Linked DNA regions of Saccharomyces cerevisiae S288C. Changing the gene in region 3 together with the main gene of any one other region gives a genetic interaction. Each region holds a gene or a part of one and is shown on either strand. Other genes may lie near its edges.

Region 1 (2,836 bases), on a different chromosome or scaffold from region 3:
GCTGTTGCGTTTCAACGTCGACGCCAAGTTTCCCCTAGAGGGCAAGTCTGACTTGAACTACAAACTATCCAAGAGATTTGTTGAAAGGGCGTACAAGAACTTTGTGCAATTTGGGCTAAAAAATCAAATCATTACAAAATCCCTCTCATCCGGATCAGGGTCATCGATCTACTCCAAGCTGACCAAGATTTCTCAAACTTTACACGTTATTGGCGAAGAGACCAAGAGCAAGGGAATTTTGAACTTCGACCCTTCCAAGGGCAATAGCAAGAAAACGTTGTCCAGGCAGGACAAACTAAAATACATCTCACTATGGAAAAGGCAATTATCCGCGTTATTGTCTACTCTAGGGGTGTCCACAAAGACCCCCACGCCTGTGTCCGCACCTGCAACGGGCTCTTCAACCGAAAACATGCTTGATCAACTGAAGATATTGCAAAAATACACCCTCAACAAGGCTTCACACCAGGGCAATACTTTTTTCAACAACTCACCCAAACCAATCAGCAACACCTACTCATCTGTGTACTCATTGATGAACAGTTCGAACTCCAACCAGGATGTGACCCAGCTACCCAATGACATACTTATCAAGCTGTCCACAGAGGCCATCTTGCAAATGGACAGCACGAAACTGATCACCGGATTGTCTATCGTTGCTTCGAGGTACACGGATTTAATGAATACGTACATCAATTCTGTACCGTCCTCGTCATCATCAAAGAGGAAATCCGACGATGATGACGACGGCAACGACAATGAAGAAGTTGGAAACGATGGCCCAACGGCTAATAGCAAGAAAATCAAAATGGAAACAGAACCACTAGCGGAGGAACCAGAGGAGCCCGAAGACGATGACCGAATGCAGAAGATGCTTCAAGAAGAGGAAAGCGCCCAAGAAATCTCAGGAGATGCCAACAAATCAACTTCTGCCATTAAGGAGATCGCACCCCCCTTTGAACCTGACTCATTGACGCAGGATGAAAAACTAAAGTACCTCTCAAAGCTGACCAAGAAACTGTTTGAATTATCCGGTCGCCAGGATACTACCCGGGCCAAATCTTCGTCTTCCTCCTCCATATTACTGGACGATGACGACTCCTCGTCATGGTTACACGTCTTAATCAGATTGGTTACGAGAGGAATCGAAGCACAAGAGGCCAGTGACCTGATTCGTGAAGAACTGCTTGGCTTCTTCATCCAGGATTTCGAGCAACGTGTCAGTCTGATCATTGAATGGCTCAATGAAGAATGGTTCTTCCAAACCTCGCTGCATCAAGATCCCTCTAACTACAAAAAATGGTCCTTAAGAGTTCTCGAGTCTCTGGGTCCATTCCTTGAAAACAAACACAGACGATTCTTCATCAGACTTATGAGCGAACTGCCCAGTCTTCAAAGCGATCATCTTGAGGCACTGAAGCCTATCTGCCTGGATCCGGCAAGAAGTTCCCTTGGTTTCCAAACGCTAAAGTTTCTCATTATGTTTAGACCCCCAGTGCAGGACACTGTTCGCGACCTGCTGCATCAGCTAAAGCAAGAAGATGAAGGCTTACACAAGCAGTGCGATTCACTGCTTGACAGGCTAAAATGATCACAACCATTACATACATCATATATACGCATGTGTAGGGTCTTCCTTCAACTTGCAAATCAATGTTTTATCTATCATTCTGTGCTATAGGGACCTCGCAATTTTGACACTTCCGTAAGGAGTCATTCAGCGGCGGAGTCACTTTCGCTAACTCTTTCTTCTATATATACAGACCAACAAACAAGTATCTAATGGGAAAGGGAATCTCCACATGAAGCATACCACATCGACAATGTTACGCACTACTAGACTATGGACCACCCGCATGCCCACTGTGAGCAAATTGTTTTTGAGAAACAGCTCCGGCAATGCCCTAAACAAGAATAAACTACCATTTTTGTACTCATCCCAAGGACCTCAAGCCGTGAGGTACACTTCCCAACATGAGTGGATAGCTGTGCATCAGGACAAGACTGCCTTTGTCGGAATTACAAAATACGCCACTGATGCCTTAGGGGACGCTACCTATGTTGAGTTGCCAGAAGTGGGCACTGAGATTGCCCAAGGTGAGTCGCTAGGGTCCATTGAGTCCGTCAAGTCAGCCTCCGAGATCTACCAGCCTGCCGATGGTACCGTAGAGGAAATTAACACTAATCTTGAGGAAAATCCAGGTGTGGTGAACGAAGATCCTATGGGTGACGGCTGGCTAGTCAAAATGAAGCTTGGTGAGGGCGTTAATGTGGAACAGGTCGAGGGTCTAATGTCCTTAGAACAGTACGAAAAGACACTGGTTCATGATGACTGAACAAAGCTTATACGTACGTAAAGTAATTTCATATATATGTATATATATGTAGGGGAAATAAAACAATAAACTCAACGTGTACACTTATGCTTATGCATTCTATTTCGCTTTGGATTCATACTCCTGTGGGGTCTTTAGTGACAATTGTAAAGCATGGATACCGTTCGCCTGAGCCATCTCGTCTTGCAAGAGGGAATAAACCATACGATGGCGTTGTGGAAGTTTCAGGCCTTCGAACTTTTTACTGACCATCTCAATCCGGAAATGTGTCTCAGCAGAGACATTTCCCTGTACACCAGCATGGCCCTTATGCTTGTGAGAATCGTTGTAGAGGCCAAACGCAAAGTTCTTGTAATCTGGAAAGCCGCATTCCAGTCTCTTCAGGATGGTACGTGCCACGGGACCATCTGTGCTCATTGCTCTCTTGAACATTATTCTCTTTCCACTTTCGTTTGCTGCTAACGATGCTATTCTCTTTTTGATTCGTCATTCCGGAACAT
Region 2 (9,933 bases), on a different chromosome or scaffold from region 3:
TAATCAGTTAGATGTGTCTTTTTTAGGTAAAAAAAGGCAACCAACTTTTTGCTGGCTAGCGATGCGACAATAAACGCGCGCAGCGAATAAAAATAAGATGGCGGAGGAGCAGAGACTTCTTTTCTTAGAAGAGGTTTTGTTACCGTATGGGGGTATGATGGTTAGATGGCTGAATAAAAACGTTAATTAAAGGAATACAGAAGAGGAAGCGCCCCGATTTCTTTTCTGTTCCACATGAAAGCAGCCGGTTGGGTGGTAGATCTCTAATGACATCCAAACTACAAAACCGAGATTGGACATATAGCACACTCTGCATTTCTACTTTCCTTTCTCCCTACAGTTTGCTCGATCTGAACCGATGCTTCTTTGATTGGACAAGATGATAGACCATGACTCCCTGTATGTATTGCAGAGATTGCCACTACTAACCAAGAAAAGTTGAACGTGTCGTACGTATAAAACGATTTATGCTTAGGCTTTACTGAAAAAAAAAAAGTAAAAAGAGGATGCGCAAACGCATAGAGCAAGTAACTAACCTGTTTTTATAGTATATACTTGGCCCCACCAGGCTGATCGTCAGGCAAAACGCCAAACTAATAACAGTAATAACAGAAATATGAACACCAATAGTAATACTATGGTAATGAATGACGCAAATCAAGCACAAATAACGGCCACATTTACGAAGAAGATATTAGCGCATTTGGATGATCCGGACTCCAACAAATTGGCCCAATTCGTACAGCTTTTTAATCCAAACAACTGCAGAATAATATTTAATGCTACCCCCTTCGCGCAAGCAACAGTTTTTCTGCAAATGTGGCAAAACCAGGTCGTACAAACACAACATGCCCTAACAGGAGTAGACTATCACGCTATTCCGGGATCCGGCACGTTGATATGCAACGTCAATTGCAAAGTCAGATTCGACGAAAGCGGCAGAGACAAGATGGGGCAAGACGCGACTGTTCCCATTCAACCAAATAACACTGGGAACAGAAATCGACCCAACGATATGAACAAGCCAAGACCTCTATGGGGTCCATATTTTGGCATTTCCCTGCAGCTGATCATCGACGACCGCATATTTAGAAATGATTTTAATGGTGTAATATCGGGGTTTAACTATAACATGGTTTACAAACCCGAGGATTCTCTGCTAAAAATTTAGTGGGAAGATTCCGCTCTACCAGGGAAAAACAAAATTATATAGAAAAGAAGGTAAGTAATAAGTAATACGAAAAAACCCAAAAAAAAAATTCAAATACCCCAACCCTGTGCCCTTTCTATTTTTATGGTTGAAAAGGTTACAGAGGATCCTCTGGAGCGGTGACAACAGTTGACGCAATCATGGTCCCTGGCGGTCCCTAAGGATATCTCGGAGGAACCGAGGCACGGAAACGGCTGCACGGGTACGCCAGATAAGGATAATTCAGCCGTCACGCATGAACAGAAGGATGAGCATTTGCTCACCTTCCTGGACTTAACTTGCGTGAATGAAAAGAAGAACACCAATGTTAGAGTAGGGCTTCGCACCAAACTTTAATCAAGAAATCTGAGGAGAAATGATTCTAAGTCTAGCCACGAAAACTGCAAAGCGCACCAAAAGTAAGAAACGACAAAGTTTTTCTAGCATTTTTTTGTTTCATCAAGAGAAGAAACACGATTTATATAACTGTTACCGCTAAAACCTACATCTAAACTTTTTAATATCTGAAAGCGCTAGTCGTGTGTACCCCCCTCAACTGATCAACTGGTCAACGAGCTTTACTTGTGGAAGTTCATGGCAAACGCTCCTTGGCTTTTGCCTAGTCTTGTTCTATGGCACATTTTTCTGTTGAGTTACACCCCGCGTGCTAAAAAAGGGGTGAACCATCAGAAAGCTTATTACTGAGTTTTGCGGAGCATCGCTCGGAGCGGCGGAATTGAATCGAACCGCCGTGCTATTACCGAACAAAAAAATTCGAAAGCATAAACTCAGTAGTGAAAAACTTGAGAATTTTCAGATGAGTGGCGACTTTCCAGTCCTTGCGGTTTTGTCACCTTAGTCAGCTAGTAAGGAGGCCGTGTGGGTTAGAGTGGCTACAATCCTCAAAGGGCACTTCTAGAACCCACGGTGAATTTTTTTTGGCATGATAAATCGGTAGAATCGGTGAAGTAATTACCCAAAAAAGGATCGGGATTGTGTTTCTCGTAATTCCGTATTATTGCCGATGGCATCGACTACTTCTTTTTTCAGAAACCCCAACAAGGGTCTATTGTAATTGTATATAAACCTTTTTGTAATGGATATATACATGTGGTACTATTTCTCCTCATCCTGCTCCATCGAAAATCCTCATACGAAGAGTTAGGAAAGCAAAGAAAACAACAAAAACATGAGGATCGAAAAGCACCGTACCCCCCTGTCGAAGGGAATTATTTGGACGATATTGTCTGTGTGCCTTTTATTCATGTTCACCACACTGATATTGGTTATTGTAGCCACTGCTGGCTCCACCGCCAACTACAAACCCTTAACGAATATATACATCGGTGAAGCCGATATCAAACACATCAATGTAAGCAAGGTGATCCCGCAGATAGGCCCTATTTTGACAATATTAGGGTCCGCTTTGACGGCTCCGAACAGCTCCTTGGATGATATTTTTGGCGCCATGAAAAATATTGCTGATACTCCCGCGCTGACGCCGCTATTGACGCTTTTGTCTAATGCTGACAACACCACAGTAACCATCGAATCATTGACCGAATTGGCTCCCTTAGCGATCAGCGGCAATCCTGCTTCTAGCACGAGGCAGTTGACAGAGATTAATGGGCTGCTGAAGTATTCAGACAACGCAACTGAAACACTAGATGGCCTCTCAAGGTTAGTTTCTGCTTCGCTGTCTTCCGCAAGCTCTAACTCTTCCAGTGACTCAACTACTTTGGTTCTGGACTTATTAAAAGACTCCGATAACCCACAGAATTCCACAGATGCATTGCTAACTCTGAATAATCTGACAATGTCAGAAAAGGCGCAATTGTTACCGGTATTCAGGCTATTCGCTTTCTCCACGAACCAAACAGCTACAATGACGGCTCTGGCGACCTTGATGAACACTACTATTTCATCTTCTTTAGCCCAAACACTATTAACTCAGTTACAAAACACAATTTCAAACGGAGGTTCCCTAAATAACACGTTTAGTACTTTGCAACCACTAGTGCCGCAGGCAAGCGCCCCCGCATTTGATGCAGTGGAATTGCTGCTAAACCAGACCACCTCTACAAATCAGACATTGAGCACTCTATCTGATTTGCTGGAACAAAACCTCACTCAGTCATCATCTGCAAAAAAGGCGTTTGCTGCCTTAACCCAATTGATGGAAAATTCGGACAACTCGACAATGGTTGTCACTTCGGTCCAATCTCTAGCTGCGGTGACAAATACAACTCAATCTACTCAACAGCTAATTGGATTAGATGATGTGATAAGCTCCTCGAGTAACACCAACGAAACTTTGTCCATCTTGTCCGAATTACAATCGGGCCTATCCGGTAATTCAAGCTCCGTACAGTACATTCCATATCTCTTCAGTCTTTTAGGGGCATCCACTGATCCTAAAACAACATTTTCATCTTTAGTGACGCTGACTTCCTGGGCTCAAGAAAACCCTCAGACCTTCTTGCCCATTTTAGATATATTAGCGGATGCCAAATCCGTCCAACCGATTTCCGCAGAAGAATTGAACGCCATGACGCCGAATATACTAGAGTATCTGAAAATTCCGATTTACTATCGCTTATCCATTTTCACGCTATGCCATGCTAACCTGGAAAACAAGATCCTAGATTGTAACTCCCCACATGCTGTACAAAACTTGGATTTTAGATCGATTATTTATGACGCATTAGTCACATCAGACTTCCAACCATATCTGAACGCCCTGAATATTAGCGCCAACGATCTTTACCTAGAAGGGAAACTTTTACACAGAGAGCACCAATATGTGCCAGCAGTGAGGTCTGTTTTGGCTTTGAACCTCTTAGCGATCATCTTTTCCTTCTTTACCATGATTTTTATTATATTACTGTACTTTAACAGATATATGTTCAAACAACCATTATGGCTCATTGCCCTAGCTCTACACGTTTGCGTTGGTGTAGCCACTGTATTGGCAGCCATTATCATATCCGTTATGATTGCCATTATAAAGAGCGGTACGGCAGATGATAAATATGGTGTTGTGTTTAAAGCCGGTCCCGCCTATACAGGGCTGATATGGACAGCATTTGCGTTGTCTTTTATCGCCACAGGATTGATAATTTATACGTGGTGGAGGAACAGACGGAGTGGTCGTTACATGTCCGGATCTGTGACGAATAGGAAAGGCGAAATTTACACGTATGGGGATGGTTCTGCCATTTCTGCAGACCGTTTCGGCGACCATAACTTGGGTGATGATGATGATGCTGATTTCGAAAAACAGGTGAATCGTAATGAAATAACCGCTATCGACAACAGTAGTTCTGCCAATAATACAGATGTCACAGGTAGTACGAGTAATAGAACAGAGCTAAGTCACCCCGACGTGACACCAAAAGATTCAAATGGACCTGTTAACAATAATGCACATTTGGTAGCATAATTTTTTTCTTTTTCGTAAATGCTCTATCACTTTTTTTCAATTGTACCAAACCATTTACAGCGTTATCTTAATCTCTTATATTGAATTATAGTACATACCACACCATCATCCTTATTTAATAGCTTTATTTAAATTTCAAAACAAAAATTAATAATAATTTGGTAATTATTCATATTTTTGGAATATATGCAATTAATGTTCTTTCGTCTTTGATGTATATTCCTTCGGCGTTAATTACAACTATCACCGTAAAGTTTTTACCACCCTCCGAAAGATTAAGGGCGGCAATGAAATGTGGAGTAAAGTGAATGTTAGATGATGATATTGATGGCTTTGCTCGATCAAAGATAATATTATATTTAAGTATCATCTTGTCCTCAATCCGGTACAAAACAAACGTCTTCAACATTGTTATCTGTATTTTGTTCGTCTTGAATATGGAAAAGACTCAAAAGGGATAATAATACAATTAAAAGTTACCGAAGAAAGATTTTATAATGATCTCAACAGCTTCTGCATTTTATCAGAAGCATAGAGTAAATTTACTGCGTTCTTCATACATAATATTGTTGCTAGCCACGCTTTACAATTCAAATTCCAGTTCTAGTAACAACAAAACTGATAAGAAGGATTCTGAGTCAACGGTTTTAGAAAATAAGAAAATTGAAGAGGGAAAAGAAACCGCAGTAGATAGAGAGGAAGATGAAAGTAGCAAAGAAGAGTTAACGATAGTCTCCAAACATAGCACAGATTCAGAAGATGGTGCAATAATAATTGATAAAGAAAGCAAGACTAATCATAAGGGGGGAGAGCGAAAAGGAAAGGTAGATTTTTTGTTCAAACTTTTGCTTCATGATAAGAAGTGCCTCATTTTATTTATTACACAGGCTATTCTTCTGAACATCAGAACATTGCTGTCTCTTCGTGTGGCTACTTTAGATGGTCAATTAGTGTCCACACTAGTAAGAGCTCAATACGCAAACTTCACAAAGATATTGTTGGGGAAATGGATGATCCTTGGAATTCCCGCCAGTTTTATTAATTCACTGATCAGTTACACGACAAAACTTTGTGCTGTCACTATTAATAGGAAAGTTTCAGACTTTCTACTCTCAAAGTATCTATCTAATCACCATACTTTCTATTCCGTAGCTTCTGCTGAATCTGTTTCAGAAATTCAGGATAATTTGACAAAAGATATTTACACATTTTCAATGAACTCGTCATTATTACTGAATCAGCTATTAAAGCCAATGCTGGATTTGATCCTCTGTTCATTCAAATTATTAACCTCAAACACTAGTGTTATGGGTGAAGGAACTTTGGCACTGGGCTTAATTGTCTACGCCTCCAATTCATTACTAAAATTGATTCAACCGAATTTCACTAGGTTAACTATGGCAAGCGCATCTTTGGAAAGTTGGTTCAGATCTTTACACTCGAATCTACATTCAAGCAATGAAGAAATTGCACTGCTAAGAGGGCAAAAGAGGGAACTAGAAAACGTTGATTATTCATTTTACCGTTTGGTGCTATTTTTAAACAGAGAAATAAAGGCAAGAGCTATTTATGATGTTGCTACTGCATTTGTCATTAAATATACTTGGGGCGCAGCTGGCTTGGTACTATGCTCGATTCCAATATTTTTCAAAAACAAACCTAGTGAAGACACCTTACAGCTTAAGGAACCCGGGAATGATATGACGGCTGATTTCATCACAAATAGAAGATTATTAGTCACTGCATCTAGCTCTATCGGAAGATTTGTGGAACTGAAGAGAAATATACAACAATTACGCGGTATCAGATTGAGATTGAACAAGTTCAATGATTTGTTGGATGCTAATAAAGGTGATGACGAAAAAGAACCAAGAGATGAAAGGTGTATAGTGGAATATGATGATTCAAGGATAAAGTTTGAAAATATTCCTTTAATAACACCTGCCAATCAAGTTCTAGTACCGGAGCTAAGTTTTGATCTGAAGCATGGAAATCATCTACTAATTATTGGGCCCAACGGTTGCGGTAAATCTTCATTATTTCGTATTCTAGGCGGGCTTTGGCCGATAAGGGCGACTCCCAATAAAAATCATCAATCCAAGTTAATAATGCCGCGTAGAACTGTGGATAGAGATTGCGCAATATTTTATTTACCCCAAAGGCCGTATATGGGCAATAGGTCGACATTCAGGGAACAGATTATTTATCCAGACAGTATTGAACAATTCAAAGAAAGATATCACAATGATTATGATCTAGGCGATGCAGATTTAATAAAAATTCTGCAATTATTAGATTTGGAGGATTTAGTCACTGAAAATATGTCACTTCTGCTGGCGCAAAGGACTTCCAAAAATGATTCACAGCAGTTGTCGACGGAAGACAATCAGTCACCATGCGCCATTAAAGTTCGTGATGCATTCAGTATAGTAAGAAATTGGTCCGAAGAATTAACAATTGGTGTCCAACAAAGGTTAGCTATGGCAAGGATGTACTATCATAAACCCAAGTTTGCTGTGCTCGACGAATGTACATCTGCAGTAGCCCCAGAAATGGAACAAAGGATGTACGAAAATGCGCAAAATTTTGGTATCTCGTTAATATCAGTTTGCCACAGGACAAGTTTATGGCATTTTCATAACTATCTGTTAAAATTTGATGGTAAAGGCGGATACCAATTTGGACCGTTTAACCCGAAGGAAAGGTTATGTAATGAAGAAAAACTTCTTGAACTAAATGCCATCTTGGATCAACAGGTGCCACTTTGGGAGCGGAAGTTGAAAGATCTGACAATTGCTAAAGAATCCAACATCATTCGTAAATCAGAAACTAACCTGAATCTTTTTGAAAAGATCGAAGATCCAAAAACGTCCAAATCTAATGCATTGTTTAATGCAAATAAAGGGCAGCGAATCACATCACCTACAGGGCAGGAGACTAGTAAGAGATTACCACTATTTTCCCAACCATCTAGTTCAGCATCATCAAATTTACTAAGAAACAATAAAAGCTTGAACAAAAAAGTTAAAACAAAAAAGGAAGAAGGAAAGGAGAGGTAACATACATAGCCAAAGGAGGATCCAAATCATGTATAAATTGGATAAATAAATTGTTTTATAATAATTTAATATCTTGAGAAAGCGCTCATATTTACGGTTGATTGCTCAATTCCATGTACCGGATCCAACTGTACTGGCTTCCTCAGCCTCCGGTACCAACCTTTTTTTGTATAAATACGTAAAAATACAAAAGTCTGAACTATTTTTCCCTTTTTATGCAAATAAACACTTTCCTATATATAATTTTACTTTTGAATATTCATGTCACGACCCACTGCCTGAGAACTTTCCATTTTTTATAAAGTGAACCAAGTTTTATAGTTATCTTGAATCAGGTGAAGTTGAATGTGTTAAGATGGATGATTGATTGTTCATTACTGATGATGGAGAAGTTATACTGGCGACGTTACTTGAGGATGCATTATTATTAGAAACTTCTGTTGTGGACGAAATTATACGCGGCAAGGAATCAATTTCTTGAACGATGAATTCTCTTTCATCAAGAAAAGTAGAATCCTGAGAATCTAAACCGAAAGTTTTAAAATACGTCAATAGTTTATCTCTGTTTTTAACAAGAATGTCAAAAACAGGTTTTGACTTCCTTGGGTTTGCTACCATCACCTTGAATACGTTGAAAGCTTCAAGTTGTAAGTTTTTAGATTTGTCAGTCATTAAAGTCATTATGAGCTTTAAGTTTTCTGGGGAGTTGATATATATATTCATCAACGCGTTGTTAGATCTTATCACAATTAATGAGGCCAACAGTTTAGTGCTCTGCCTTTTCGTTACGTAGCTTCCATGAGCCATTAACTTGTTAATACATTTAATGAATCTTATGATATTAATCTCATTACTGAAGAATTCCTTAGACACTAATTTAGGATGTGCAGTAAATGCGGCACTTAATATTTGTAAAGATTCCGTACTGATTTCGAAATTACCCAGTTTCGCAAACTCAAAGAATTTCCATAGTTGAGGGTCCTTTAATATAATCCTACAAAGTTGTTCGTATTTGATACATTCAATAATCATATTCCCTACCGTTAAAAAGATATCTTGGCAACCCTTTTGTTGTAGAGCAACTTCCGCAGTCCTCAACATTAAAGATATGGTCTTTGGTTGCGAGACTAAATAATCTACTGTGACGAATTTATTATCCTTAGAGTATCCAAGGCATATAGAGAATATAAGCATGCATTCTCTCCTTGCTTCGAATTCCAAATCCACAAAATGAAGTAGCAGTTCATAGAACACGTCGGCACGATGCATGGCAGTATAAAGCTCGTCAATGGCTTCCGGAGTTGGGTGAGGATCCGTATCACCGACAATAAAATGTTTAGTGCCAATTAGATATTTTGTGCACTCTTCTTGTACCTTTCGTTTGTTATCCTGAGTCAGCGAGGGTGAGCTGAATTTATTTAGTTGTTCGATGATCAACCTGGCATAATCGGAAGGGGTCTTGGGGTTTTTCTTCCACCAAAATGCCATGTCCAAGTCTTGATTTTTGTATTTCTTAAACATTTGTCTTCGATTTGCGGATAATTTATACTGGGGATTACGTGCAATAAGCCTCTTACGGATAACACGTATTCTTTGGCTTAACTACTCCGAGATTAAATCGTATTGTTAAAACAAGAAGCTATCAACGCCTGTAAATATTGTGTCAGTGCCACTTTTGAAACAATTCTGAGACCACTTTTTATTTTTATTTTTCCAAGAGTGCAATCAGCGGGTTTCCTCCTTATTTGCGTTTGGAGCAATCTTCCCTTTTTCGAACACAAAATCCAAAATTTGGAGCAATTGGCTCTTCAAAATCAACGGTACATGCTCCTTATATTGGTAATAAATAATTCATATCCAGCCTCCTCTTATGGCTGCATAATGGAAAGGATCAACGCTTGCAACACAAAAATAAATTAAAAAAAAAAATTACTGAAGGATGCGAGGTTCGAACTCGCGCGGACAACCGTCCAACAGATCTTAAGTCTGCCGCCTTAGACCACTCGGCCAACCCTCCATACAAATTTTACTTACTGGAAACTCCCGAAGTGTTGTCAACACGTTTTAGGATATGAACTTATCCAATAAACCAATATCACAGTTTAACTTTATTGGAATAGGAATCAAAGATGGTCTGTCTCCTAGCATTAGTATTGCTGGTAATTATCATATACGGTGTAAGAAGATAGTATGATGATTGAGAGATAGTCATCGGGTTTAACGGAAGCTGATATGTAAGGATT
Region 3 (5,053 bases):
AGTAAAATTTCTGCTGAATCCGTTGGGAAAAGGACTCATCACGGGTATGATGGGAGAATGGTTCAGAAAAAAATCTCCACATCCTGGCCAAGACGAAAGTGTCGAATCCATTTGTGACAGAAGGTTTGGGAATAACTACATATCAAACAATATGATCAGTGCCTTACTAAGAGGTATCTATGGGGATGACGTTTCCCTATTAAGTGCCAAGAGAACGTTTAAGAAAATATACTACAATGAACTAAAGCACGGATCTAACACACAAGCTATGATTGATAATATGCGCGGAAAGTCAAGAAGTAAAAAAACTGAGAACCTGCACCAATCTTTAACTGGCTGCCTTAACGACTACTCAAATGCGTTTGGAAAAGACAGGTCAAAGTTATTAGACTTATCCAACACGCTAAAGAAATATCCCATGTTGGGTCTTGCTGGGGGACTAGAAACGTTTCCCAAGATAGTCAGAAATGCTTTGAACGAATTTAAAAACGTCAAAATAGTTACTGGGAACCCGGTTACGCAAATAATGAAACGCCCTGCTAACGAAACGACAATCGGATTGAAAGCGAAATCTGGCGACCAATACGAAACATTTGACCATTTAAGACTTACGATAACACCTCCCAAAATCGCTAAATTGCTACCGAAGGATCAAAATTCATTATCCAAGTTATTAGATGAGATACAATCAAACACAATAATTTTAGTTAATTATTATTTGCCAAACAAAGATGTAATAGATGCCGATCTACAAGGCTTTGGATACTTGGTTCCCAAATCCAATAAGAATCCAGGGAAATTGCTTGGTGTAATTTTCGATTCTGTTATCGAAAGGAATTTCAAACCACTTTTTGACAAACTCTCCACAAACCCAAACGCCCTCAACAAATATACAAAAGTGACTGCGATGATAGGAGGTTGTATGCTCAATGAACACGGTGTTCCTGTAGTGCCATCCAGGGAGGTAACCATTAATGCAGTCAAAGATGCGCTGAACAACCACCTCGGCATCAGTAACAAGGATCTGGAAGCTGGTCAGTGGGAATTCACTATCGCCGATAGATGTCTGCCAAGATTTCATGTAGGTTATGACGCATGGCAAGAAAGAGCTGAAAGGAAGTTGCAAGAATCTTACGGCCAAACAGTTTCTGTGGGGGGAATGGGATTTTCTAGAAGTCCCGGTGTCCCTGACGTTATTGTAGACGGCTTTAACGACGCCTTACAGCTAAGCAAATAAGTACGTATATATATGGTTAGCTTTACGCAAACTACTTCTTTTGACAATTGAGGCAGTTATCAGCTAATAAGAAAAAGTAGTTAGTATCAAAAGACACAATTTATTTATATTAACCAAATTTTTCAGAACATCCTCCGGACCGTCAGTCTTTAACGCCGAGCCGCCGATGATGGGTTGGAGTCAAAACGAGGGAACTCAATATTAATTGCGGAGTTGAGCGATGATGGGTTGGAACTATATAAAGCATCGGAAACGCATGGCTAAGGGAAGTGGAAGAATGCAGGTTACAAAAAACGGATAAGAACAAACTTGTTTCGAAATATGGCCGCTCCAGATTATGCACTTACCGATTTAATTGAATCGGATCCTCGTTTCGAAAGTTTGAAGACAAGATTAGCCGGTTACACCAAAGGCTCTGATGAATATATTGAAGAGCTATACTCTCAATTACCACTGACCAGCTATCCCAGGTACAAAACATTTTTAAAGAAACAGGCGGTTGCCATTTCGAATCCGGATAATGAAGCTGGTTTTAGCTCGATTTATAGGAGTTCTCTTTCTTCTGAAAATCTAGTGAGCTGTGTGGATAAAAACTTAAGAACTGCATACGATCACTTCATGTTTTCTGCAAGGAGATGGCCTCAACGTGACTGTTTAGGTTCAAGGCCAATTGATAAAGCCACAGGCACCTGGGAGGAAACATTCCGTTTCGAGTCGTACTCCACGGTATCTAAAAGATGTCATAATATCGGAAGTGGTATATTGTCTTTGGTAAACACGAAAAGGAAACGTCCTTTGGAAGCCAATGATTTTGTTGTTGCTATCTTATCACACAACAACCCTGAATGGATCCTAACAGATTTGGCCTGTCAGGCCTATTCTCTAACTAACACGGCTTTGTACGAAACATTAGGTCCAAACACCTCCGAGTACATATTGAATTTAACCGAGGCCCCCATTCTGATTTTTGCAAAATCAAATATGTATCATGTATTGAAGATGGTGCCTGATATGAAATTTGTTAATACTTTGGTTTGTATGGATGAATTAACTCATGACGAGCTCCGTATGCTAAATGAATCGTTGCTACCCGTTAAGTGCAACTCTCTCAATGAAAAAATCACATTTTTTTCATTGGAGCAGGTAGAACAAGTTGGTTGCTTTAACAAAATTCCTGCAATTCCACCTACCCCAGATTCCTTGTATACTATTTCGTTTACTTCTGGTACTACAGGTTTACCTAAAGGTGTGGAAATGTCTCACAGAAACATTGCGTCTGGGATAGCATTTGCTTTTTCTACCTTCAGAATACCGCCAGATAAAAGAAACCAACAGTTATATGATATGTGTTTTTTGCCATTGGCTCATATTTTTGAAAGAATGGTTATTGCGTATGATCTAGCCATCGGGTTTGGAATAGGCTTCTTACATAAACCAGACCCAACTGTATTGGTAGAGGATTTGAAGATTTTGAAACCTTACGCGGTTGCCCTGGTTCCTAGAATATTAACACGGTTTGAAGCCGGTATAAAAAACGCTTTGGATAAATCGACTGTCCAGAGGAACGTAGCAAATACTATATTGGATTCTAAATCGGCCAGATTTACCGCAAGAGGTGGTCCAGATAAATCGATTATGAATTTTCTAGTTTATCATCGCGTATTGATTGATAAAATCAGAGACTCTTTAGGTTTGTCCAATAACTCGTTTATAATTACCGGATCAGCTCCCATATCTAAAGATACCTTACTATTTTTAAGAAGTGCCTTGGATATTGGTATAAGACAGGGCTACGGCTTAACTGAAACTTTTGCTGGTGTCTGTTTAAGCGAACCGTTTGAAAAAGATGTCGGATCTTGTGGTGCCATAGGTATTTCTGCAGAATGTAGATTGAAGTCTGTTCCAGAAATGGGTTACCATGCCGACAAGGATTTAAAAGGTGAACTGCAAATTCGTGGCCCACAGGTTTTTGAAAGATATTTTAAAAATCCGAATGAAACTTCAAAAGCCGTTGACCAAGATGGTTGGTTTTCCACGGGAGATGTTGCATTTATCGATGGAAAAGGTCGCATCAGCGTCATTGATCGAGTCAAGAACTTTTTCAAGCTAGCACATGGTGAATATATTGCTCCAGAGAAAATCGAAAATATTTATTTATCATCATGCCCCTATATCACGCAAATATTTGTCTTTGGAGATCCTTTAAAGACATTTTTAGTTGGCATCGTTGGTGTTGATGTTGATGCAGCGCAACCGATTTTAGCTGCAAAGCACCCAGAGGTGAAAACGTGGACTAAGGAAGTGCTAGTAGAAAACTTAAATCGTAATAAAAAGCTAAGGAAGGAATTTTTAAACAAAATTAATAAATGCACCGATGGGCTACAAGGATTCGAAAAATTGCATAACATCAAAGTCGGACTTGAGCCTTTAACTCTCGAGGATGATGTTGTGACGCCAACTTTTAAAATAAAGCGTGCCAAAGCATCAAAATTCTTCAAAGATACATTAGACCAACTATACGCCGAAGGTTCACTAGTCAAGACAGAAAAGCTTTAGGTACTTATGACGATTTGGAACACATTCAAACTAGAAAAAACTTTGATGTAGGATATCCCTATGCACATCCATACGGTATACATAGTGAACGCTCACTGTGTATAATGGACTAACAGTAGTTATAAACCTGCTTTCGTTACTACAGCACACAAGACTATTGTACTTTGTTAAAGAACTATAAGATTAAAGACATACATAATTCCAACTATTTATACCATTAAATATTCTTCTTAAGCTTTTTTTCGCGGCTTTCTATAATATATGAGGATCAATTAGTGAAAGCAATGCTCTCTATGTTGGAACCACAGTGTAGATACTGCACTTTCATAAAGCGCTAGATATAGCTGGTCAATCTAGCGGAGTACATGGGTCACAGTTACCATTCTCGTAACTTGACTTGGTGCACTACGGGTCAAGATGATTGAAAACGGCTCCCACAACTTCAACTGAGGTCTGTTTCAGATGGAGGTGCAGTGTTTTCCATGTAGTGAGCCCTGATATCGGGGCGTAATCACCTAACTCAGCAAAGGTAAACCTTTCTCATCTGACGGAGATAAAGTGATAGTAATCGGGGATGCGGCGACAGAGATTGAAGTTAATTTGACCATTGAATAGTTGCTTATATATGATAGACTTAGCTAAAAGAAAATAATGAAGGCGTACCCCATATCGCTGATCAGAGAAATCCATGTAGATAGAATTTCTGTCTCCGCTAAAACTGCATGAGCGACTGACTGAAGCTCTACTCATTCAAAAATTATCCCTCTTCACTTCCCGTATTCACACTTGTTGCCACTATGGACATGCTCTCTTTGAAAAATGTAGTCTCACCCACAGAAAAGAAAAGATCATTTGAAAATAAGATATCCTGGGAAACCCGCTTGAATTATTCCAGTGTTTCTACCTAAAGAAAAATCACGCAACCAGAAACAGATTTCGTCTGGGTTCGTTCAACAACTCTTTGCTTAAGATTTAATTAGCATATGCTAAATCGCCATTAGGAGCAAAACCAGGGCTTCTAACGATTTCCAATAAAGAAGATACGGAACTTTTCATGTGTTGACAACAACATTACAGGGATTTTTTCAGACTTTCATGTTACCGGTCAATCTGCTGATGCATACATACAGGTATAAAGAACACTTTGCCTAGAACAATAAAGAAAAGTCAAAGACATCTGAGAGGCATCTTCTTACCTGAAAGAGACGCCTTGTATCTTCTATAGGTCAACTAGAGTAGGTGTTCCGGAAACCTGAATGA

The links.
Region 1: of FAA2 (region 3) and GCV3, changing one suppresses a phenotype caused by changing the other (phenotypic suppression), as found in Saccharomyces cerevisiae (one study listed by BioGRID).
Region 2: mutations in FAA2 (region 3) and PXA2 impair growth when combined (synthetic growth defect), as found in Saccharomyces cerevisiae (2 studies listed by BioGRID, with this or other methods).

Annotation. Positions count from the first base shown.
Region 1 is NC_001133.9:57,450-60,285, reverse strand, and holds GCV3 (glycine decarboxylase subunit H), read left to right. Parts: upstream 1-1,823; coding exon 1,824-2,336; downstream 2,337-2,836. Other genes in the region: RNA-processing protein PTA1, read left to right, coding at 1-1,591; BOL1 (Bol1p), read right to left, coding at 2,436-2,768. UniProt on the Saccharomyces cerevisiae protein: The glycine cleavage system (glycine decarboxylase complex) catalyzes the degradation of glycine. The H protein shuttles the methylamine group of glycine from the P protein to the T protein.
Region 2 is NC_001143.9:83,982-93,914, reverse strand, and holds PXA2 (ATP-binding cassette long-chain fatty acid transporter PXA2), read left to right. Parts: upstream 1-5,128; coding exon 5,129-7,690; downstream 7,691-9,933. Other genes in the region: MTR2 (Mtr2p), read left to right, coding at 617-1,171; FAT3 (Fat3p), read left to right, coding at 2,379-4,631; HYM1 (Hym1p), read right to left, coding at 8,012-9,211.
Region 3 is NC_001137.3:182,983-188,035, forward strand, and holds FAA2 (medium-chain fatty acid-CoA ligase FAA2), read left to right. Parts: upstream 1-1,558; coding exon 1,559-3,793; downstream 3,794-5,053. Other genes in the region: HEM14 (oxygen-dependent protoporphyrinogen oxidase), read left to right, coding at 1-1,237; BUD25 (Bud25p), read right to left, coding at 749-1,187, 1,696-1,718.